Linked DNA regions of Struthio camelus. The protein of the gene in region 1 purifies or fractionates together with the protein of each later gene. This does not show direct contact. Links are inferred from orthologs where the notes say so. Each region holds a gene or a part of one and is shown in the gene's direction. Other genes may lie near its edges.

Region 1 (8,212 bases):
TCCCCACCCAGGGGAGTGGGCTCCTAGTGCTCCTTTTCTCGAGACAATATGGTAAAAGAGAAGCCCCCCCCCCCCCACTGCCCCACAGGGGACAATCAGCTTGCCCCACATCTCGAGACATTATGGTACCAGGAGGGATAGGATCGTCCCCCCCCAGGCTGTCCACACATTAGGGTACCGGGAGGACAAACGTGCCCCTACCACGCTCTCCAAATATTACGGTACCGGGAGGAGCAGCCCATCCCGCTGGCGGGAGCAATCGCAGGGCTCTGCTTCTCCAGACATTACAGTACCGGGGGAGACTGACCCCCGCCCCCCCCAGTGCCGGGAGCCAATTGATGGCTCCGCCTCTCCAGACATTATGGTACCCGGGGTGGGGGGGAACAAACCCCCCAGAGGCGGGAGCGAACTAAAAGCTCCGCCTCTCCAGACATTACGGTACCGGGAGGGGGGAGTCGCCCCCCCTCAGCGGCGGGAGCGATCTCGGGCCTCCGCCTCTCCAGACATTACGGTACCGGGAGGGGGCGTCGACCCCCCCTCACCGTGGCCGGAGCGGTCTCACGGCTCCGCCTCTCTAGACATTACGGTACCGGGGGTGCCCCCCCCCCCCACCCGGCCCCGCTGCTGCAGTGGGGGGGGGCGGTGCCCCCCCCGGTCCAGGGGCTGCGGGGGGGGAAGAGACCCCCTCCTCGAGCTGTCGGCCGGGGGGGCCGAAATAAGCCCCCCCATTGGAATATGCGCCCTCCCCGCTGCCCCCCCGCACTGCGCGCCCCTCCCATTGCAATCCCCCCCATTGCACAGGCCCCCCCCGCACTCCTGATGGCCGGGGGGGGCTCCATTCCCCGCTCCCCCGACTTGGCTAGCCCCCCCCCCGTTTTACACGGGTCCCCATGGCACGGAGGCCCCCCCCCGCATTGAACGACCCCCCCCTCTGGTTTTCATGCCCCCCGCCCCGCATCTCCCGGTGCTCCCCGGACAGCACGGTGCCCCCCCACTGCACGATGCCCTCCTCTATATTGCACGGCCCCCCCCACTTTGCATGACGCCCCCCGGTTTGCACGGCCCCCCCCCCGCACTGCACGGCCTCCCGGTCTGCTATGCGCCCCCCCCCGACATTGTACGCCCCGCATCGGCGCTGCCCCCCCTTATTGCACAGTGCCCCCCACCCGGTTTGCACGGTGCCCCCCCGGTTTGCACGGCGCCTTCCCCCTCATTGCACAATCCCCCCCCGCATTACACGCCCTGCACCGACGGTGCCCCCACCCGCTTTGCACGCCCCCCCCCGTATTGCATGATACCCCCCCCTCTTTGCACAGCCCCCCCCGCTCTGCACGGCGCCCCCCCCTCCCGCATTGCACACTGTCGCTCAACCCGCACGGGTCCCCGCATTGCACGCCCCGCACCGGCTGTCCCCCCCCCCCCGCATCGCACGACCCCCCCGGTCAGCACGGCGCCCCCCCCCCGCGATGCACGACCCCCCTCCTCTTTGCACATCCCCCCCGGGTCTACACGGCGCCCCCCCCGCATTGCACGCCCCCCCACCGGCTCTGCACGCCCCCCCCCGCCCCGGCGGCGCCCGTACCTGCGGGGGCGCGCGGGCCCGGGGGGGCAGCTCCATGCGGCGACGGCGCGGGCGGTGCGGGCGGCGCGGCCCCCCCCCCGGCAGCGCCACCCCCCCCCCCCGCGGCGAGCACCGCTCGCCCCGCCCCGCCCCGCCCGCGTCACTCACCGGGGGGCGGGGCGCCGCGCGGCCCCGCCCACAGGGCCGCCGGTACCGGGCGGGGGGGGCGGGTGTGAGGGGACCGTTATGGGGGGGGGGGGTGAGGAGACCGTTATGGTGGGGGCGGGTGTGAGGGGACCGTTATGGGGGAGGGGATGAGGGGACCGTTATGGGGGGGCGGGTGTGAGGGGACCGTTACAGGGGGGGATGAGGGGACCGTTATGGGGGGGCGGGTGTGAGGGGACCGTTATGGGAGAGGGGGTGAGGGGACTGTTATGGTGGGGGGATGAGGGGACCGTTATGGGGGCGGGTGTGAGGGGACCGTTATGGGGGGGATGAGGGGACCGTTATGGGGGGGGCGGGTGTGAGGGGACCGTTATGGGGGAGGGGGTGAGGGGACCGTTATGGGGGGGGCGGGTGTGAGGGGACCGTTACAGGGACCGTTATGGGGGGGATGAAGGGACCGTTATGGGGGGGCGGGTGTGAGGGGACCGTTATGGGGGGGGGCGGGTGTGAAGGGACCTTTACAGGGGGGGATGAGGGGACCGTTATGGGGGGGGCGGGTGTGAGGGGACCGTTACAGGGGGGGATGAAGGGACCGTTATGGGGGGGGCGGGTGTGAGGGGACCGTTACAGGGACCGTTATGGGGGGGATGTAGGGACCGTTATGGGGGGGCGGGTGTGAGGGGACCGTTATGGGGGGGGGGCGGGTGTGAAGGGACCTTTACAGGGGGGGATGAGGGGACCGTTATGGGGGGGGCGGGTGTGAGGGGACCGTTACAGGGACCGTTATGGGGGGGAGGATGAGGGGACCGTTACGGAGGAGGGAAGAGCATGAGGGTATCGTTAAAGGGGGGGGGCAATCACGTGAGGTGCCCGGTAACGTGGTGGGGGGAGGGTTTACCGTGTGAGGAAGCCGGTAACGGGGGCGGGAGGGGGGAGCGGTGCGGGGCAACAGCCTCTTCCCGCCCTGGCGGCAGGCAGAAAACCTGGTGCGGATTTGCCCCCGGGAGGGGAGCGGGGGTAAAACCCGGCCTGGATCTACCCCCTGGGAGGGGACTGGAGGGTAAATCCCGACCTGGATCCGCCCTGGGAGGGGAGCGGGGGTAAAACCCGGCCTGGATCTACCCCCTGGGAGGGGACTGGAGGGTAAATCCCGACCTGGATCCGCCCTGGGAGGGGAGCGGGGGTAAAACCCGGCCTGGATCCACCCTTGGGAATGGAGTGAGGGGCAAAACCTGGCCTGCCATTCACAGACAGCACGGAGGGGGCTGGATAGGGCGGGGGTCAAGGGTCACCCCGGTGTCACGGGCAGGCCCCGCCCCCTCCCCCGCCCGGAGTCCAGCCTGACTTACGGGAACGGGGGAGGGGCAGGCCCCCCCTCCTCCTTTGGGGGAGGGGGCTCAGATGTCCTGGCAGCCCCTGCCCCACCCGATGTACAGACACGCGCGTGAGCACAGACACGCACGCACATGTGAGCACGGCCAGCCACACGCCTGAGCAGGGCCTCGCACACGTGAGCACACGCGTGTACGTGTGTGAGCTGGCACACGCACACATATGTGAACACGGCCCTGTGCACGCACGAGCAGTGTCACGTGCACGCGCGCGCTCGCACTCATACCAGCGTGGTCACGGACACGTGAGCGCACTGCTGCACAGAAAAGGTCACGCATGTGCACACGCTCCCTCACACATGACCCCCATCATGCATGACATAGTCATGAAAACATATTTGCACGTGCGTGGGCGGATTGCCACACAGGCGTGTGTGCAATCACACGTGTGTCAGTGCAGCCACGTACGTGTGAGCAGGCTCTCACACGTGTGACCACCATCACACACATGTGCATGCAGCCATGCACGAGCAGGGTCACACGTGTAGGTCACATGTCCCCTGCCAGCAGGGGGGGATGAGGAAGAGCCCTGCTGCTGGCTATCATTAGCCCTGCTTATAATTAGCATATGCAAATGGCTTCACTGGGGAGGGGGGGTCTGTAGTCAACAATGGGGGAGGGGTAATTAGTGCCAGTAATTAGTGCAAGGCGAGAGCGGGAGTAGGCTGGGGGAGTGTGCAAGGGCCATGCGGGCAAGGAGCTCCCATGCAAGGCTGGGCTGTGAGCATCTGGGGCAAGTTTGTGAGGGCCAAGTGTGCAAGGAGCCCCGTGCAAGCTGGGTACAGAAGCAAGGGTAAGCGTGCAAGGGCTGAGTGTGCAAGGCGCCTGGTGCACCAGCACACAGGGAGCTGGCACAAGGGAGCAGCGTGCAAGGAGCTCTGGCGCAAAGCCGGAACGTGAGCGCGCACGATGGGCGTGCAAGGGCGGTGTGCCAGGAGCCCCCGTGCAAGGCTAGGCAGCCCCGGGGCGAGTGTGCAAGGGCCGCGTGTGCAAGGCCGGGCGCGCGCATGCGCGGGGAGCATGCGCGAACAGCGCCCGGGGCCCGGCGCCCGCTCATGGCGCATGCGCGTGTCGGGGCTGCGCCGCTCCGCACCGCGCCCCGGCCGCCATTCGCCCCGCCCCCTCGCCCTTCCCATTGGGCAGCCGCTTCCCTTCCACCCTCCCCATTGGCGGCCTGGAAGAGCCTGCCGATTGGCGGCGGCGCGCGAGCGGGAGGCGGGGAAGCGGCGGGCGCGCGCCTCTCCCGGCGGCGGCGGCGGCGGGCGGCGCGGGGATTGGCGGGGCGGGGCGGCGGGGGCGGGGCAAGGCGGTGCCGGCCACTACGGGAGCCGGGAAGCCCCGCCCTGCTGCCGGGGGCTGATGCAGGCTGGGGGTGGGGGTGCAGGCGCAGCCCCACGGTGAAACCCGGGCCGCCCCGCTCCCCTCGGGGCTCCTGGGCCCCAAACCCGACGGGGGGTGGGGCAAGAAGGTGGGGGAGGTGCGCCAAGCGGGGGGGGGGGAGGGACGCCTAGCCCCTCCCCCCACCCGCCTGGCCCTCCAAGCCCCTCCCCTCCCATCGCCCCGCCCCCGGTACCCAGCTGTCTCCACGCCCCTCCCCACTTACTGTCAATCACCGCTGGTCCCGCCCCCTCAGCTGACGCCCCGCCCCTCCCATGGACCTTCTCTCCCCCCCCGCCCCCAACCCTCCCGGGTTCTATTTTTAGCCCGCCGCAGCCAATGGGCGGCTGGCGGGGGCGGGCCGAGCGCCGGAGGGACGGGCCGGACAGCCAATGGAAGGCGGCGCGGCGGCGGCGGCCGGGCCCAATGGCTGCGGCGGGGCGGGCGCGCGAGGCGCGGCGTCAGAGGCGAGCGGCCAATGGGACGGCGCCGGCGGCGCGGCGGCGCCAATGGGCGGCGGGGGGCGGGGCGGGGCGGTCCGCCGGGGAGCGGGGCGGCCGGGCCGAGCCGAGCCGAGCCGAGCCGGGCCCGACATGGGCAACGCGGCCGCGGCCAAGAAGGGCGGCGAGCTGGAGAGCGGTGAGTACCGGCGCCGCGCCGCCCCGGGCCGGCCGCCCTCCCTCCCTCTCTCGGCGGGTACCGGGCGGAACCGGGCCGGGGGGAACCGGGCTCAGGTGGCAGCAGGCCGAGCCGGGCCGAACCGGGACAACCGGGCGAGGGTGGGCCGGGCCGAGCTGCGCCGGGGGGAACTGGGCCCGGCGGAACCGGGCTGGGCTGGACCGGGGAGGGGGATGAGCTGGAGGGGAACCGGGCGGGGCTGGGGGGGAACTGGGACCGGCGGAACCGAGTCGAGCTGGATCTGGCGGGACCGAGCTGGGACGAAGTGGGACCGGCGGAATCGAGACAGGCCGGACCATGAGGGGTGCCGGGCCCGGCGGAACCGGGTGGGACCGAGGGGATCTGAGTCGGGGGCAATTGGACCCGGGGGGCCCTAGGTTAGGCTGGACCGGGGAGGAGGGGCACCGGAACCGGCGGAAGCGGGCCGAGCTGGATCGGGGGCCACCGAGCTGAGGAGAACCGGGCCGGGCTGGAGCCGGGGGTGAAGCAGGCCGAACCGGGGGGGGGGACCAGGCTGAGCGCGGGTCAACCGGGGGTCACCGGGGGGGGGGGAGGAGGCCGAACCGGATCGGGGGGAGCCGAGCTGAACCGAGCTGGACTGGGCAGGGACCCCCGGGGTGGCGGGGGCGGATCCGGAGGGCACAGGGACCCTGGGGCAGTTTGCCCCGGGGGAGGGGGTTACGGTGGGGGGGCGGGGCTTGGCGGAAGGGGCGGGGCATGCCAGGGGTTGCCATGGGCGCGGGGGCGGGGCGCGCGGGGGCTGCCAGGGGCGCGGGGGCGGGGCGCGGGGAAGGGGCGGGGTACGTGGGCGTCGCCATGGGGACGGGGCGGAGGTGGGGGGGAAGGGGCGGGGCGCGCAGGGGTTGCCATGGGGACGGGGGCGGGGCACGTTGGGGGTTGCCATGGGGATGGGGCGGGGCCTGGGGAAAGGGGCGGGGCTCGGCAGGTGCAGCGGGGGCGGGGGGGTCTCTGGCGCCTCCTCCCGCCCCCACGCGGGTCCCGAGGTCAGCGGGGGGGCAGCCCGGACGCCTGGGTCCCCGGGGTGCTGGAGACACCAGCAGGCTTTGGGGGTCCAGGCGGGTGCTGGGGACGCTGGTCTGGGGGTACTGGGGGACACTGGGGACTTTGATCTGGGGGTCCAGGCGGGTGCTGGGGACGCTGGTCTGGGGGTATTGGGGGACACTGGGGACACTGGTCTGGGGGCCCAGGCGGGCGCTGGGGACGCTGGTCTGGGGGTATTGGGGGACACTGGGGACGCTGGTCTGGGGGCCCAGGCGGGCACTGGGGACGCTGGTCTGGGGGTATTGGGGGACACTGGGGACGCTGGTCTGGGGGCCCAGGCGGGCACTGGGGACGCTGGTCTGGGGGTATTGGGGGACACTGGGGACGCTGGTCTGGGGGCCCAGGCGGGTGCTGGGGACGCTGGTCTGGGGGTATTGGGGGACACTGGGGACGCTGGTCTGGGGGCCCAGGCGGGTGCTGGGGACGCTGGTCTGGGGATATTGGTGGACACTGGGGACGTTGATCTGGGGGTCCAGGTGGGTGCTGGGGACGCTGGTCTGGGAGTATTGGGGGACACTGGGGACACTGGTCTGGGGGCCCAGACGGGTGCTGGGGACGCTGGTCTGGGGGTATTGGGGGACACTGGGGACGTTGATCTGGGGGCCCAGGCGGGTGCTGGGGACGCTGGTCTGGGGGTATTGGGGGACACTGGGGACGCTGGTCTGGGGGCCCAGGCGGGTGCTGGGGACGCTGGTCTGGGGGTATTGGGGGACACTGGGGACGTTGATCTGGGGGCCCAGGCGGGCGCTGGTTCTGGGGATATTGGTGGACACTGGGGACGCTGGTCTGGGGATATTGGGGGACACTGGGGACGCTGGTCTGGGGGCCCAGGCGGGTGCTGGGGACGCTGGTTCTGGGGATATTGGTGGACACTGGGGACGCTGGTCTGGGGGTATTGGGGGACACTGGAGACACTGGTCTGGGGGCCCAGGCGGATGCTGGGGACGCTGGTTCTGGGGGTATTGGGGGACACTGGAGACACTGGTCTGGGGGCCCAGGCGGGCACTGGGGACGCTGGTTCTGGGGTATTGGGGGACACTAGGGATGCTGGTCTGGGGCCCCAGGCAGGTGGGTCCTGGGGATGCTGGTTCTGGGGATATTGGGGGACACTGGTCTGGGGGCCCAGGTGGATGCTAGGGACTCTAGTCTGGGGGTATTGGGGGGTACTGGGGACGTTGATCTGGGGGCCCAGGTGGGCGCTGGGGATGCTGATCTGGGAGTATTGGGGGACGGTGGGGACACTGGTCTGGGGGTATTGGGGCGCACTGGGAATATTGGTCTGGTGGCCCAGGCGGGTGCTGGGGACACTGGTCTGGGAGTATTGGAGGGTACTGGGGACGCTGGTCTGGGGGCCTAGGCAGGTCCTGGGGACACTGGTTTTGGGGGTCCTGGTGGACACTGGTTTTGGGGTCACGGTGGCCATTGGGGACACCAGCACTTTCTGGGGGTCCAGGGGGAACTGGGGACACCAGTTTCAGGGTCCCTGCAGGCACTGGGGACATCAGCAGGGCTTGTGCGTTCAGGGGACACTGATTTGGGGTCTTGGTGGCCACTGGGGACACCAGTTTGGGGGTCTGTGTGTCCCCCCGTGGCGGTGTCATGTCCCCCCGTGGCGGTGTCATGTCCCCCGATGGCACTGTCCTTAACAGCGGTGCCACATCCCCTAGAGTCCCTTGTTCCCCCCATATCGGGGCCGGTGGGGGCATGGGCCATACTGGTCCATACTGGGGGGGGGGTGTCCCCGTGGCCTGTCCCCGCCCGCGTCGCTGCCACCCCGGCCCCAGGGACAAAGTCTGCGCACCCCCCCCTCTCCCGGGGTCATCGCCCTGCGGCCGCCTCCTCCCGGACGCCTGGGCCCGCGCGGCATGGAGGACGGTGAGGGTGGGGGGCAGGGTCCGGACGCCTGGGTCCTCGCAGAGAGGCTCTGGGGGTGGGGGTGGCCGGACACCTGGGCCCCTCTGCCCTTCGTCCGTCCCCC
Region 2 (7,704 bases), on another chromosome or scaffold:
CTCACAAAAACCCAGATTTCCAACAGAACGGCGCTAGCAATCACAACAAAACAAAACAGAAAACCTGAAAACCGTCAGATTTGAAAACCAAACCATTCCCACTTCTCCAGCCAAAACAGCAAGCTTACACTGGCAGAAGGAGAGAAAACGAAGGAAAAAAAAAAAAAAAGAAGGAGTTGCTGGTGGGAGCAAAGGCCCGCCTTCCCCCGTCAAAGGAGCATTATTTATCTCCTAGGCCACAGCTCCGCAAGCGCCTCGCCTGCGGGGAGCGAGGTCCCGGCGGGCTCCCCGCCGCCCCGGCCCGCCTCACCTCTCGGCCTGCGCTGACTTCATGATGTGCGTCTGGGCAGCGCTCAGCTTCCAGGGCCCGAAAGTGAAGTCACGGCGGCTGCTCTGGAAAACGGGGTGCATGGCGGCAGCGGGGGGGGGTGGGTGGGGGAGATGTGGCCCCGCCGAGGAGAAGGCAGCCGGGGACGGAGGAGGCGACGGCTCCACTCCAGCCGGACGCCACTAACGGTAACGACGCCGCTAACACCTCCGTCAACTTCCGGTTCCGGGCTGCTGCGCGCGCAGCCCCGGAAGGCGCTGCAGGCGGGGAGGGGTGGGGTGTCACGTGACAGTGGGCTGGGCGCCATGACGGGGGCGGGAGCTTCGCCCCGTGCTCGCGGGGACCTGCATCGCCGCCGGGGGGCGGCGGGTGGCTGCGGAGTGCAGCCGGGCAGATGGTTAGGCGCGGGCGGGCAGCGAGCTCAGGTAAGCGTCCCGCGAAGCCCAGCTTCAGCCGCCGACTGAAACGTCACTAGTTGTCTTTTGCTGCTGCAGACGCACACCTTGCGTTTTGTGTGTGTTACATACGTACGTACGCCTGCAGTCTCCTGCGCTGGGTTGAGCTGCTCCTGATTGCAGTCCAAAGATGATCTTTAAAGAACGTCAAACAAAATATGATAGTATTGTGAACCTAAAATCCTGTAGGAAAGGAGTGACAGAGCGGATTAAAATCTTCTATCGTTTCAGCGTGGATGGCTGGATGCTCATGTTGTGTTTGTGTGTCATCAAAAGGACAGACTAACTCCCCAGGAAATTGCTGTAGCATGTGAGCATGAATGATAGTCCTACTTGGTCTTTTGGAAGACCGTAGAGTCATGGCAAGCCAAGAGAACAGCCATGGCAACATGCCACATGTAATGCAAAGAACTATATCTATCTAAGAACTATTATCTGTTCTAAATTAACAGAGCCACAAAAAGTTCTAAATTACACAGCAAAGCTGTGACTTAGTCAGAGCAGTCACAGTGGAGCACTAACGGCCTTGCCAGGATTTGGAGAAGCTCAGACTTAGGAATGCACAAAAATGGTATTTAATTACCCTTGGTCCTTTACGCTGCACTGTCTGTGCCTTGCTTCCTGAAAAAAGGCACCCCCCCCCAAATTTACCCTGGTAAGACACCTGTATTTCTTTTAAAAGTCTCTTATGGTCTGGGAAGTCTAGGAACGTGTCCCCCTTTGTGCCACTTACTTGTTCTGTGTGCTTGGGCAAGTCATTTCATCTGCTGATCTGTGTAAAAATTGATTCCTTCCGACTGAACCTCCGAGGGTTTAAATAAAATGGATGAAGGCTGTAAAGAGGTCTGACATAGCACAGACTTGATTCGAGTGCCTTAGGACCAACCTGCGCGGTAGCTGGTAACTGTCCCCCTTTCGCAGGGCATTTGTGTTGCTTTCCCAAGGCAGCACAGCAGATAAACGGCCCTGCTAGAAGGCCGCTCTCTCCCCAAACGCAGATACAGTTGATTCAGAGCAAGTGGTGCCGGAGGGACGAGCTGAGGTCAGCCGGACCCGACCCGTTTTTGGAGAGGCAGCTCGTCTAACCGACTCCTGACGGTGGGTGTTCAAACGGGCCGGGGTGCGGGCGCTCCCCGCCCACAGACTGCTGCCCACCGGGGCTTACGGCGGTAAGAGCGGCCCCGCTGGCTGCCGCCTGCGGCCCCAGCCGCAGAGCGGGATGGGGCCGAGGGGAGAGTCCGCCGAGGAGGAAGCGCTCCCGAAGGTGACGGGGAAGCCCGGACAGAAGGGACGGGGGCAGAGAGAAAATGGAGGGAGGCGGAGCGGGAGGGGAGGGGAAGGCGAAGGGAGGGGGCCGCCGCGGCGGGGAGGAGGCAGGGGCTTGGGCATGGCGGGGGGAGGGTCGGGCCGCGACTCGGGGCCTCTCTCCCGCCGGCGGCGGTTGCGGGGGGCCCGGGGCGCTGTAACCCGAAACGTCCCGCCCTGGCGGCGGCGGCGGCGGGCGCGGCACGGCGGGGCGGTGAGTGCGTTGCCGGGCAGCGGGCGCGCGCGCCCGGGCCAACGGCCGTTACGGGGCGGGGAGCGGCCGTTGCGGCGGCCGTTACGGGGTTTGGCGAGGGGGGGAGGGGAGGGGAGGGGAGGGGAGCGGCCGTTACGGTGGCAGCGGGGCGGGGACCCCGCTCTCCGCCGAGGGGGCGGGCGAGACGAGGCGGGCTGAGGGATGCCCGGCCCGGTGGAGGGTGCTCTTCCCCTCCCCCTCCCCACCTCGGCCCGTTGTTGTCGTTGGAGGGGGTAAAATGGAGGCTTTTTCCCGGAGCCTCCCGGCAGCGGCGGAGGGGGCCGTGAGGAGCCCTGCCCGGAGTCGGGGCTGCTTCCCGCCACCTGCCCTGCCTGCCGGCCCTGCGGCATCCCGCGGGCCCCGCGGCGGCGGCCCTCGCCTCGGTAGGGCTCCGCGGAGATGTTGCCTCGCTCTCTGCTCGCCTAACCCTGGCGGGCTGCGCTAAACAAAGTAGTGCCCCGCTCGGCGCGGCCCCCCCCCCCCCATTTTCTCGCCAGCTGGTGCCGCAACCCCGCACATGGTTTTAATCAGGGAAGCAGCGCTGGCTTTCTGTCGTGCGTGTGTGTCAGCATGCCTGCTCCCTGCTGCTTTCTCTCCCGGAGAGGGGTTCAGCCGGTGGCCGGCCGTCCAGCCCAGTGGCCAGTGTGCGGTTGGCACTGGTAGCAGTGCTGGCCCTGGGCAAAGAGACACCCCCCCGCCCCAGCCCCTGCTTGTCCCACCAAGCAATTGCCCCTGTCTGAGCTGGGGCTCACAGAGCCAGGCCCTTTGGCCGTTCTGCTTAACTGTTTCCTCCTGGCTGATGGGCACGTTTGCTGGGCATCCCCCCACCCCGCCTTTGGGTAAAGCAGGATTAGATGCAACTCTGAGGGGAAGGGTAGGAGCGCGTGACCTGGGTGTTGCTGGAGGCTGTGGCCACTCTCGGATAGCCTCCTTTCTAGAATCCGCGCCTCTTTAAAAGGTGTTGGAAAGACTCACAAGTGAGCTGCAGCCATATTTTAAAGATAAACTTTAAGAGAAACGCTATTACGCACAGTCGGCAGTTTCACTAGAGAAGAGTTAAGCTAGATTTTACGAAGCGTGGCTCAGTAGTGTCTTCAATTAGGCTCTTAGGAAGGCACAGATAAAAATTGAAAAAAATACATCTCTGCAGCCTGACAGTGTTGCTTAAGGCCATAACAACCTCACGGATGGAAGAGGTTCTTCAGTACTCCTGGTGATTTGGGAACAATGGATGGGCAAAGCCGAGATACCCTCAGTGGGCCGCTGATTTCCAAGAAATGTTAAGATGAACTTCGTTTTATTTGTTGCACGCTTTTTTTGGTTGTTCGGTTTGCACACATGCATTTTTGGTGTTTTTTCAGTGTGCTGGTCTGCAGATGGGTGAAAGATTGAATTAAGCTATTAGGAATGCTTGTGGTAGACAGCAGGCAGAAGGCTGCTGCAGAACCGGGGGGAATACTGAGCTCTCACAAAACTGAGGTTATGAGGCAGGGGGATGGGTGTTGAGCAGTGATCACTGTGGTAGCTAAGGTGATTATGTACATGGAGAAGTGACATTAGGAGAATATGTTGCAGTGCTCCCAGATTCTTTGAATGTTACCTAGCAACCGTTAAGAGTCAGCAGGGTATGACTAGCCAGGCATCCACAGACCACTGAATAGCAGTTGCTACCTAGGCAGAATGCAATGTCGGGATAAGCAGACAGGAAAAAAAAAGACTTTTTTAAAATTGAGAGAAACAAAGACTAATTGTTACATTCTTCCTGTTTCTTCACAGCCTAGATGAAGGGACTGAGTGAGATGTACAGCTGGTAAGTATGGCTGATCAGTGCTTAGAAGCAAGTAAGATCCCTACAAAAATATTAAATGTTTTAATTTTCTTCTTTATTTCTTCCTTCCTCCGTCCCTCTCCATCCAACTCTTTCTGTCTTTCAGACAGTTTCTCCCCTCTTCTAGATTTAACTCTATCATTGACCTCTTTGGCGTGCCTATGGGCAATTTCCTGCCCCTTTGTTTTCCCATCCAAAACGATTTGCTGTCTCCTACAGGTAAAGTTTAATTAATGCGAGTAAAAGAGCCCTTGATCTTTGGAGAGGAGGTGAGGAAATCTTGCCTGAATGTCTCTGAGTGTTGTTGTTCTGCTTCTAGCTCCTCAGCATGTCTTGGCTGCTCCAGCTCTGCGCGCTCTGACAATGAGCAGCAACTCCTCCCTCATCAATGTGAAGGGCCTGAGGAACCTTACCACGCTGGAAAACGGGGCTGTCAGAGTCACCGAGTCTATTGCTATAATTGTCATTGCCATTTTCATCTGTTTGGGCAACCTGGTGATTGTCGTCACCCTCTACCGGAAGTCTTACCTTCTCACTTTGAGCAACAAGTTTGTGTTCAGCCTGACCCTCTCCAACTTTCTCCTCTCTGTACTGGTACTACCTTTTGTTGTCACCAGCTCCATCAGGCGGGAATGGATCTTTGGAGTTGTTTGGTGCAACTTTTCAGCACTGCTCTACATGCTGATCAGCTCAGCCAGCATGCTCACTCTTGGACTCATAGCTATAGACCGGTAAGCAGCGCTTTTACAGTGAGTGAAAACAAATTGTCTAGTCGTTTCATAGAATGACTTATTGGCTGTTCACAGGGTTGAGAAGCACTGCAGTGGATGACCATACATAACATTTTAATGACTTTCCATTAATTTAATTCACCCCTCCCCCATGAGATTTTGACACAGAATGGAAGAAAGTGCTGTCCTCGATAATGCAAAATGCTTTCATGCATCTAGAGTTTGTTTAGAGCTGTTTATGGTATAATAACATATTACTTGAGAAACAGTAAGTAAACACAATTCCAAATATAGGCTAAGCGTGCACTCACGCAGAGAGACAGAGTTAATAGCTGCGTTTGTGCCTTCAGGTGACTTTCACAGTCTTGCCCGCAAAGATGCGGATTCTTAAATAAAACTGTTTATAACAGGGCCCCTGAGCCCACTTTGAGGTTTGGAGAGAAGAGCTTGTTCTGCAAAGGTGACTAGATATCAATACCATTAAAATATGTTCCTTTTTTACTGTACTTTTTGTGTGCTCCTATTGACTCTTGCTTTTTGTCCACCAGGTACTATGCTGTCCTATACCCAATGGTTTACCCAATGAAGATTACAGGCAACAGAGCAGTGGTAGCTCTTGTATACGTGTGGCTACATTCCCTTATTGGCTGTCTCCCTCCCCTCTTTGGCTGGTCGTCTTTGGAGTTTGACCAGTTCAAATGGATGTGCGTGGCAGCCTGGCATAAAGAGGCTGGCTACACTGCCTTTTGGCAGATCTGGTGTGCGTTGCTGCCTTTCTCGGTCATGATGATCTGCTATGGATTCATATTCCGTGTGGCTAGGATTAAAGCCCGCAAAATCCACTGTGGTAGCGTGGTTATTGTGGAGGAAGACTCGCAGAGGAATGGGAGGAAGAACTCCAGCACCTCCACGTCCTCTTCAGGCAGCCGAAGGAATGCTTTCCAAGGAGTTGTCTACTCTGCCAACCAGTGCAAAGCTTTCATAACCATCTTGGTTGTCATCGGTGCTTTTGTGATTACATGGGGGCCTTACATGGTAGTAATTACGTCAGAGGCGCTTTGGGGAAAAAATAGTATTTCCCCTGCCTGGGAGACGTTGGCTACGTGGTTGTCCTTTTCCAGTGCCATTTGCCATCCACTGATTTATGGACTCTGGAACAAAACGGTACGCAAGGAACTACTAGGAATGTGCTTTGGGGATCGGTATTACCGCGAGTCCTTTGTTCAGCGGCATAGGACATCAAGGCTATTTAGCATTTCCAATAGGATCACAGGTAAGACGTAGTTATGAAAGACACTCTTCCTTAGTATTAGCAAGAACAGTACTTGGTGTCTATGTGTACGTGGCGTGTCTCGAGGCTCTGTAAACAATGTTCCTGGAGGTTTCAGGGGTCTTTTGTTCAAATTATTATAGACGCTTGGAAGGAGGCTGATTTTTGTGGGAGTTAATCTCTCTTACTCTAGTAATAAATTTTCCCAGAGAAGACATAGTGATGAGATTAATAAAAATTACTTCTTTTCTCTCTCCAGCTCTTCATCTGTGCTTATTAGTATTTTGTGGTATCCAAATTTGAGCACTATGAATAATATATCCTGTGGCACTCGTGCTCTGATTCCTGGCTTTATGCTGTGACTCTCTGAACTTTACTGAGGTTACATTGGTCTTAATATTTCTATAAATTCAGTTTTTAGTCTTAATGGTTGTGAAGGAAATACTGTAACTGGAGAAAAACCATCCCATTAGATGCCTTCCTGCGTTGCAGGCCAAGAGCTCCAATGACTATTCAGCTGCTCAGAGGGTTTTTAAGTTGTAGCCCAATGAAGTTGTGATTTCTGATCGTTTTCCTGATCTTATTCAGAATGCTCCGAAGCTCCCCAAATCTAGGACATCACGATGTTCCTTGGGACATTGCCTGCAGAGGCAGGAACTGAAGGTATTTAATTGGGAAAGAAGATCTAAAATGTAAAAGGGAGGGAAGAGCAGCAAGGCATCCGTTATCTTTTCTGCAACCTGGAATCACTGGGAGAGACTCCACGTAAATGAAAGAGTTCTGCAGCTGCAGCCACATCACCAGCTGCTAACACTCCTCCCTTTAGCAAATCTGTATCTGGGAGATGTTGTGGATGAATTCATTGGAAACTGAGTTGAGTTGGGAGGGAAAAGACAAAGTTTCTTTCTCTTTCCAAGTGACAAGAAACTGACAGCTTCAAATTTATCAGGTGTAGCAAGTGGAGGCTGAGAGGAAAAAAACCACAAAGTCCTTAAGCAGGATCCAAAGACAGCGCGTTTGCCACAATCCTAGAATCTCCTCCCTTCCTGTTTTGGGGATGTGAAAGAAGGCAGGCATCTCAGTGCCCCAGTCTCACTAGTGACCTTGCTGCTACGCTAATGGTCTGTCACAGCTGCGCATGGCTATCAGTTTGTTCTCTGGCTAGGAGGTGTCTGTCACCATAGCGCATGTCTGCTCTACGTTCAGCCTGGCTTGCTGATAAATACATGCAATTGCAAAAAGAGTGGGAAGGAGATGGCATAGATAGAAAGGAGACTTGCCATATAACAGTACTCCAAGGGTACATGAAAGCTTCTGACTGGGTTTCTAAGATGGAAAGTCCAAATGCTTGCTGTACCCTGGGATCAGTGGGGTAAGTTTTATGGAGAGAAGGGTAAATAAGGCGACAGACTGGGTATTGCTGGAAGAGCTTTTTACTATTGTAGACACCCTAAGCATCCAGTGTGTGATGAGGATTAAACTGTTTTGCAGATTTGGGACTATCTCCCCATCTCACTGCCCTCATGGCAGGTGG
Region 3 (7,538 bases), on another chromosome or scaffold:
AATCTTGCTGGTAACACAGCTGCACAGTCTGCTCCAGCCCAAGCCTCTCCCCGTGACTGGCAGAATCAAGGAGAACCACTTGGGCCTTGTTGCCTTTCACCCTAGTCCCCAGAGCTCCTAATCCACTCTGGGTCTCCCATGTCAGTATCACCATGTCCATAATAAGCAACAAAATGTTAACAGTCTGATTCAAAATGTAACAGATTCCCAGACTTTGGCCTACTGGCTAAAAGCACACTCTGGGGCCAGTATTTGCTGTCCTTAGGAACAGGCCATGTGCGATATGACCACAGCTCCTGTGAGCAAGCAGCATTTTCTCACCAATTTCTTTCACTGCCCATAGACAGCAGAGGACCTGTGGAGCTGTAACTCCATATCCTGTCAAATAAAGCCCTTGAATGAGAGACATGACAGTGAAGTTAAAATCCTTTTCCATCACTTGGAAAAGAAGAAACGAGCTCAGCCAGGCAACAGGGAATAGTAAAACAAAAAGACCATATGGTAGTGTCTACTTCTGCTTCTATATAGATATTCAACAAAGGAGAAAGGCTGGAAGAAGAGGATTGAAAAGTCAGGTAAACTTTAGGACAGCAAATGTGGGAAGATACTTTTATGTTGATAGGTGGGCACTACATAAAAAGGAGAAGGATATGTATCTGTGGGAAGAAACTTGGAAGTGTCTGAAACAATGCCTTGACATTAATGGTATTTGAGTATGCATGCTGATCTTTAGGCAGTGGCTCTCATCCAAATGGTAGCAAGTTAAGAACTGCTGCTCTGGATAATCAAATTTTCAGTGGATTCTCCATTCTGTTCTCCCCTCCTGCAATATAAACGAACTGCTTATCATTAACAGATCATGAAAATATCCACACATGCTAATATTTTCCACATTAATTTTCATATTCATGTTAGACGCCAATTAAACATTAAACTACAACCGATAGCATCTTCATGCTCTTCTTCCATTCACACTGGTTACTGCAGAAACCCTAGCAATATTTGCTTTTCGATCTCACACTAAATTACTTTATGTCAGGCACTCCACTACCTTTCATTTTCTGGTATCTGTAGTTCTGCAGCTTACACTTCTCATTGTTCTGTAGTAAATTCTTATTATTATCAGATCATGCTCAATTCCTCTTCTTCATTTGTCAGAAAACAAGTTTTTGTGTCAGCAGCAATAGTAACAAAGCCTTGTTTCATACCAAATATGTCCTCCTTTCTTGTCACAATAACTCAAGCTTCCCCTATACTGTCCATGCCTTAGAATATCCTCAACTCCGTCCCACATTCCACAAAATATCCCAATGTTCTCTTCCAACATTTAGATCTTCCTGTAATAGAATCTTCCAGTTCCTGTCCCTTTATTTCCTAACCTCCCGCAAGTCAGTTGTGCCCCAGATACCCTTAGCTCCCCCATATCTCTTGCTTGGCTGAGATAAGAGGTAATGTTTTGCGACTGCTTACCTGTGACCTAAAAAGCTGATCAATACTCATGGCCAGCCACGGTTTACTGGAACACAGACAGGCAGTGTTGTTTCTCTCTTCTCCCTATGAGTGTCTCTCTCCTTCCTAACCACTCATTTTCAGGAAAGGTATGGGAACATCCTCCTCTGGGTCCTCTTACTCTCTGCCAAATTTGATTGAAATTACCAGGTGAATTAAGAAACAATAAGATGGGTGAGATGCTTACAGGCATGGGCAGTGTGGTTGTACTAAGCAAATACATTGGTAGGGCTGGCTGTGCTTCCTCTTTCTGTTAGTGTCACTCAGCTTTCATTGGGAGTTCTGAATTTTGTCTCCTCAAAGGGAAAACTGTCTCACTGAAAACTTAAGCAGAAACTCTTAATAAAGGCAAGACCAGAGTAAAACTGATAAAGTGCTGGCTTTAATGCAAACTTAAGCAGTGATAAAAACCTGTGTGGTTTGCTTCAATGAGGCACCTGATCAGTGACCACTAAACTTGTGCTGTATTTGGGCAGGCAGAAAAATCAGTGCTTGTTATTTAGCTTTACAGTCTTCAGATGAGAATTTTTCCTCACAGCCACTTCTATGACTTGTAGGAATAATTCATGATAACAATTATCAGCTCCAGCTAATGTGCTTTTAATTTCTCACTTCCTGAAAAGGTTTATTCAGCCATCTTATGAACCCAAAGGATACATCAACAAATTAGTGCTATGTTAGTGGGTATTGGCTAGGTATAATTTTAGTTCTGCTAAAAATGCATTATGTTTTCCTCCACTGCTATGAGGAATATTAAATGCTAACTTATCTAAATATTGCATTGTACTGCCCTGTCAACCATACAAACAGAAATGTTCTTATTAGAGTGTGCTGAAGATTTCAGCAAAATACCTAGTGATTTGACTGGGAGCAGTTTCAGATCCAAAACCATTTTCTAAATTTGTATTTCTACAAAGACATCTAATACCAAAAGTTTATCCTGTTATTTGATCTATAACTTCATAGAATCAAATTTTTATTGACATATTTTACTCACTCAAGAGATGACCACTTAAAACATTTAGTTTCCTAAGGATAGCTGATATTTAGGTGAAACACATAATATGGAAAATTGCCATCAGCCTTATCCTAACTAAAGCTTCTGTCAGATTACACAGAACTTTGATTTCTGTGTCACAACCAGTCTTTGGGCTCCATAGGTCTGTGCAGACCAAATTCATGTGTGAAAGACAGTGAAGGCAAATGCAACATGAAATAGGCCAAACTAGCAGTGAGATACCCCCAGACAGATTTTATCTTCCAGAAGGGGAATGCATAGACAAGCCAAACACAGAAACTCACACATAAATGCTTGTAACATGCAGCTTGTGCATGCAGCTTCCTCCCTTCTGTGGCTTTTTTTTTTTTTTGCCATCCCTACTCCCTTTAAAAGTGAAAGTAAGGATTTGTATATGCATGTAAACAATCAGCTCCTTCAGATCTGGTCTATATGCAGAGACTGATCTGCAGAAACACAAGGCAACATTTGGCTTGGCTTCTTCCACAGAATGTAGAAACAGAATTTGGCTTCCAAGAGGCACAAAGTCTTTATTTAAGTAGGAAAATAGTGTCTTGCATTCCTTTGCCTCAGAGAAACAGCCTCTCACGTACACCCAAAAGGTTCATTCCCAATAGGAGATTGTGCAGTCACAGTAGGAGCATTATTGCCAATGGTAAGAGTGGCCCAGAGCTATGTTAGAAGGCTGGATGACCACATAAAGGATGGATGTTTAATGCAAGACTATCTGTTCTCCCTGGACCACAGCTAAAAGGATGGAAATCATTGCTTTGGTTTGTAAAGTTCTTTGAGTAGTCCTAAGGTGCAAGTGGTTAATTTGAAGAGTCATCACCTCAAAATACTCTGACTAGTTATGGGCATTCTGTTTAGCAGAATGCAGTAAAAATTTTGTTTAAATTCCGCACGGAAAAAATATATATTTCCTGTTTCAGTGCACAATATCTAGATGCCTTCAACTGGGTATAGGATGGCTCAGCCAAAAAAAAAAAAAAAAAAAAAAACGCTATGGAGTTTAAGGTACGGAAAGAGGAAGGGTAGGGAATCTGCCCAAGACGTGGCCAAGGCAGCCCGGCTCTGGTGGATCAGCGTCCACCGCCTCCCCCCCTTCACGGGCAGGACGTACGCGCCGAAGGGAGGGCCAAACTCCCCCGGGGCCTAGGTGGGGCCCAGCCGCACGCACGGCAGCCGCCACGGCCCCAGGCCTCCAGGCGCTGCGCCTGCCCGTCGCGGCCGGGCCCGGGCCGGGCCCTGGGCGCTCAGCCGGGCCCCGCACCCCCTCCCGCGGCCGAGACACCGCCGCCGCCGCCGCCGCCGCCGATCCCCGAACCCGCCCCGCGGCCGCCGCGCCGCCTTCCCGCCGTGCCCCGCGCGGGCCGCCGCGCGCGCGGCATGCTGGGGCTTGTGGTCCGCGCGGGGCGCCCGGCCTCCCTCCGCGCGCTGCCGCCCGGGGCTTTCGCCGCCTGTTGCCCGACAGGCGCCGTGGCGGCCTTTGGCCCTTGTCGCGCCCCGTCGCCGCCCGGCGGGCGCGGCCTGCTTGCCGTTACCGGGGCATGCAGCGGCTGCTCCGGCGGCTGCTCCCGGCGGCTGCTCCCGGCGCTCTGCCCCGCGCGGGCCGCGGCGCCGGCTCCCGCCCTCTTCGCCCCGCCGGCTCGGCCCGCGCGCCCGCGCCCCATGGCGCTGCGGCCGGCGGCGGCAGGAGCGGGGGGCGGCGCGGGCGCCTCGCGCGCAGCCGGCGAGTCCCCCGAGCACGGTGAGGAGGAGGAGGCGGCGGCGGGCTGGGCGGCGCGGCGCGGCGCGGCGCGGCGCGGCGCGGCGCGGCGCGGCGCGGGGGGGACGGAGGCCGGCGCCGGCCGCGCTCGCCAGGCCCCTTCCCCGCCCCCCGCCGCCGGAGGGCGGCGCGGCTCGGGGGGGCTCTGCCAGGGGCCCTGCGTGCGGCGATGGCGCGGGCTCGCCGCCGCCGGCCCGGCCACGGGCAGGGCCCGACGTGAGGAGGTGCCGTGGCGTGGCCCGGCCTGTGTCCAAGGCAAGCGCTCCCGGCCCTCACGGTGCCTCCGTTAATGGCAGCCGTCTGCCGATCGCAGCGGAGCAGAAAGTCCTGGCGAGCTGTGACCTGGAGTGGTTTTAACGTGTGTTAATGCGCCGTCGCCTTGTAACGGTCAAGTTACGCACAGCTTTAAAACCCAGGTGAAACATGGTGCAGAGGAGTTCATCCGAAGACGTGTGTGCGCGCGCGCACAGGCATGCCTGCGCACCTCACACTGAGCGCCAGGAGGAGCTAGATTTCGCAGCAGTGGTAGTAGCGATCACAGGGAAGATTGACTCAGTCCAGTCGTAGGCTGTTGCTAAAAAGGGCTTCTGCTTTCATCTTCTGTGCTTGCTGTACTCTGTCCCCAGGCTTGCAGTCAGTTTAAGCATCCGATCTGGCTGAGTACTAAACCTACCAAAGTTTTTTTTTTTTTTTTAGAGGAAGTTTTTTTAAGCTGAGTCAGTTCTCTGGCTGTGTAATTGCTATTGCTAGCACCAGCGGTTCAAGATGTCTGGAGAGTAAAACGGTCTTCTTCTGCAGCAGCTTTCAGTTAAAATGTCTCCAAAAGATTCATTTGTTATTAAACATAAGGGAATAGTGCCTGGAGACCTAACCTCACTGTAGTCTCTAATGTGTAGATGTCAAATAATAGAAGACTGTTTTATCTGAGAGGGCAAAAGGCTGGGAAAGGAGTACAATCAGTTATCTTTTAAAAAGCAAGACAGCCGTTTCTGCTGCTTGATTTTTTTATTCTCTGATTTGTGAACTAGGTGTATCTTGATTCTAATGGAACAGAGGACTCAAATATTCAAGCAAACAGCAACCATTTAAGCAAATACAAATATAACAGTACTGTAGAGTCCTGTTCACATATGAAGTTCAGGCTAATGTAGTTAGTCATGGAATTAAAAGTAAGTTTATCTTTTGACAGTTTTAATGCTCAGACAGTTCCTATGGAAGCTGATTTTGTTACTTATGTCTCGTATTATCAACATTATGTCAAGACTTTTGAAGAATCTTGTTTTCGGTTTGTTTTAGTGACTAAAATACAACTTTTGAATTTTGTTACTGATTTCTTTCATAAACAGTTTATTTCAGAAAAGGTGAGGGATGGAGTTATTTCCTTGGGACTGTAGGATTTAGAAGCAGTGCCTGTTAAATTCAGGTACTTGACTTGGGGAGGGCCGTTGTTAAATACTAGCTGTGCCCTTCCTATGCCAAGCTATTACTGTGAGCAGACGGAGTTTTTCAGCTTTTTAAGCAGTCAGAAGACTAACCAGCATGTGGCTGGGGTCAGGGAAAGGGAGCAGGACTACCTCCTTTGGCCTCAGTGAGCTGTTAGATCGATTCAACCCACAATGTTGAACCTCACCCTCAGTGTTGATTTTTGCTTTCAGCTGGCTATCGTTTTGCCTTTCTGAATCTTTTTGGTAACTGCCGCAGAGTGACCTTCTTGTTTGTCTGTTTTGTGGATTTGGTCTTGTCTTTTAGATTGTGATCTCTTTAAAGGAAGGATTGTTATTTTCTGTATGCTTGTGAATCGGCAACAATAGAGGGATTCTAATCTGTTTTGTGTAAGCTGCATTTGAATCTAAATGTTAGGCAAAAAATATATTGCTGCTTTAAAATCTCTTTGTTCTGCATGATTCTTTAGTGTCTGCAGGGGGAACTAGCAACCAGTCTAAATACTTATTCTCTTTAACAGCCTCTGGCATAACTTGAGGTGTCAGGCTACAACCACAGAGTGATTTATGCCTCCCTACTTCAGGCTGAAATGAGTTAGCCCTTAATCAGATTGTTCTATTAATTATCTTCCCTAGCACAAAATGATATATGCAAGAAATCTCTCCAGGGTGATAATAACCCAGGTTGAGTCTGTACCATTGCATACATGCAATGTAGTTTTGCATGCCACGAGAACATAATACGCACTTTTGCTGCCAGATTTTCCCCTTGGGGCAGATTTGGAATATCGGCACTGGTCACAAGAGGAGCTTTGAAAGTGTATTGTCTGTAGTAATGAGCTGTCCTGTGATAAACTGAATTCTGACGTAACGCTTCTTCCACTACAGTAATCCCATTGTGGAGTTGTCCCAAAGGAATATTGCTGGATCTCTGATTATGTCCAAATTTTTTATGAAATATGCTAGAGGAGATTTTAGTATTTTATTTTTTAAGGTATAAGTTATATATGGAAATGACTCATGCATAGTTAGTACTCTTTGAGGGAGTGCAGAGGGACTTTTTATAGCTTTTTAGTTTAATTGTGGTACTGCTAGAAGATAGATCTGTGTATGTGTATATCTATAAATCCTTATACATGCAAAATGAATTGTGAGTTACATTGGTTCCTTTTTTAGCTTAAATGCTAAAATTTAACTTTTTAGAACCACAGGTTCAGATCACTGTTGTCTGTAGCACACCGTGCTGTGTATATCTGCAAGAAGAGGAAGAGAGTAATCATCTCGTTCCTGAATGATATAGTCATCTGAGAACTCATTGTTTTTATATGTAAATGGAAGGTTCCCTTTCTGCTCCTTTTTGCCTCGTTTTCCATGTGGTTATATTGAAAGTCATTTGTCGTTGTTTATCTACATTGACGTTCATTTGTTGTTACTGTTATCTATAGTGAACTTCAGGTGACGGCTAAAGACTTCTAACGCTCTATGTGAAATTTTTTTTGCACATATTTGCCTTTACTTACAACTGAACAAAAACATGTGTTACCAAAAGTAGAAGGCTGAAATCCCTTTCTCTCTACTTCACACAGTGTTGAAGCGTTTTTGCTGATGTGCTGACACAGGAAGAACAGTAGCATTCTTAAGGGGGCTATATGTCAGTATTTATTGGTTGATAAACAGAGAAACATATACTTTGTACTTTGCCTGTGTGCACTGTCTCTTAGTTGTTTGTATTGAAATCTAAGACCCGTTGTGTTGTTTTAAATATATTACAGATGGGCTGGAAAATGTACTGGAGAAGAAA

Evidence for each region. Proteins that work in one complex are often made in the same cells at the same time.
Region 2: the proteins of cAMP-dependent protein kinase catalytic subunit alpha (region 1) and GPR161 purify together in Homo sapiens (affinity purification with mass spectrometry; 3 studies listed by BioGRID and IntAct, counting the BioPlex papers as one, with this or other methods). This does not show direct contact. The link is inferred for Struthio camelus from reciprocal best matches to the Homo sapiens genes PRKACA and GPR161.
Region 3: the proteins of cAMP-dependent protein kinase catalytic subunit alpha (region 1) and AKAP7 purify together in Homo sapiens (affinity purification with mass spectrometry; 4 studies listed by BioGRID and IntAct, with this or other methods). This does not show direct contact. The link is inferred for Struthio camelus from reciprocal best matches to the Homo sapiens genes PRKACA and AKAP7.

What each region holds. Positions count from the first base shown.
Region 1 is NC_090972.1:4,065,204-4,073,415, reverse strand, and holds the start of cAMP-dependent protein kinase catalytic subunit alpha, read left to right. Parts: upstream 1-5,012; 5' UTR 5,013-5,087; coding exon 5,088-5,133; intron 5,134-7,982; exon of another isoform or gene 7,983-8,099; coding exon of another isoform or gene 8,100-8,109; intron 8,110-8,212.
Region 2 is NC_090942.1:97,614,789-97,622,492, forward strand, and holds the start of GPR161 (G-protein coupled receptor 161), read left to right. Parts: upstream 1-4,347; 5' UTR 4,348-4,457; coding exon 4,458-4,900; intron 4,901-5,448; coding exon 5,449-6,173; intron 6,174-7,661; coding exon 7,662-7,704. Other genes in the region: TIPRL (TIP41-like protein), read right to left, coding at 311-411. UniProt on the Homo sapiens protein: Key negative regulator of Shh signaling, which promotes the processing of GLI3 into GLI3R during neural tube development.
Region 3 is NC_090944.1:71,235,334-71,242,871, forward strand, and holds the start of AKAP7 (A-kinase anchoring protein 7), read left to right. Parts: upstream 1-4,181; 5' UTR 4,182-4,198; coding exon 4,199-4,277; intron 4,278-4,421; exon of another isoform or gene 4,422-4,711; intron 4,712-7,509; coding exon 7,510-7,538. UniProt on the Homo sapiens protein: Probably targets cAMP-dependent protein kinase (PKA) to the cellular membrane or cytoskeletal structures.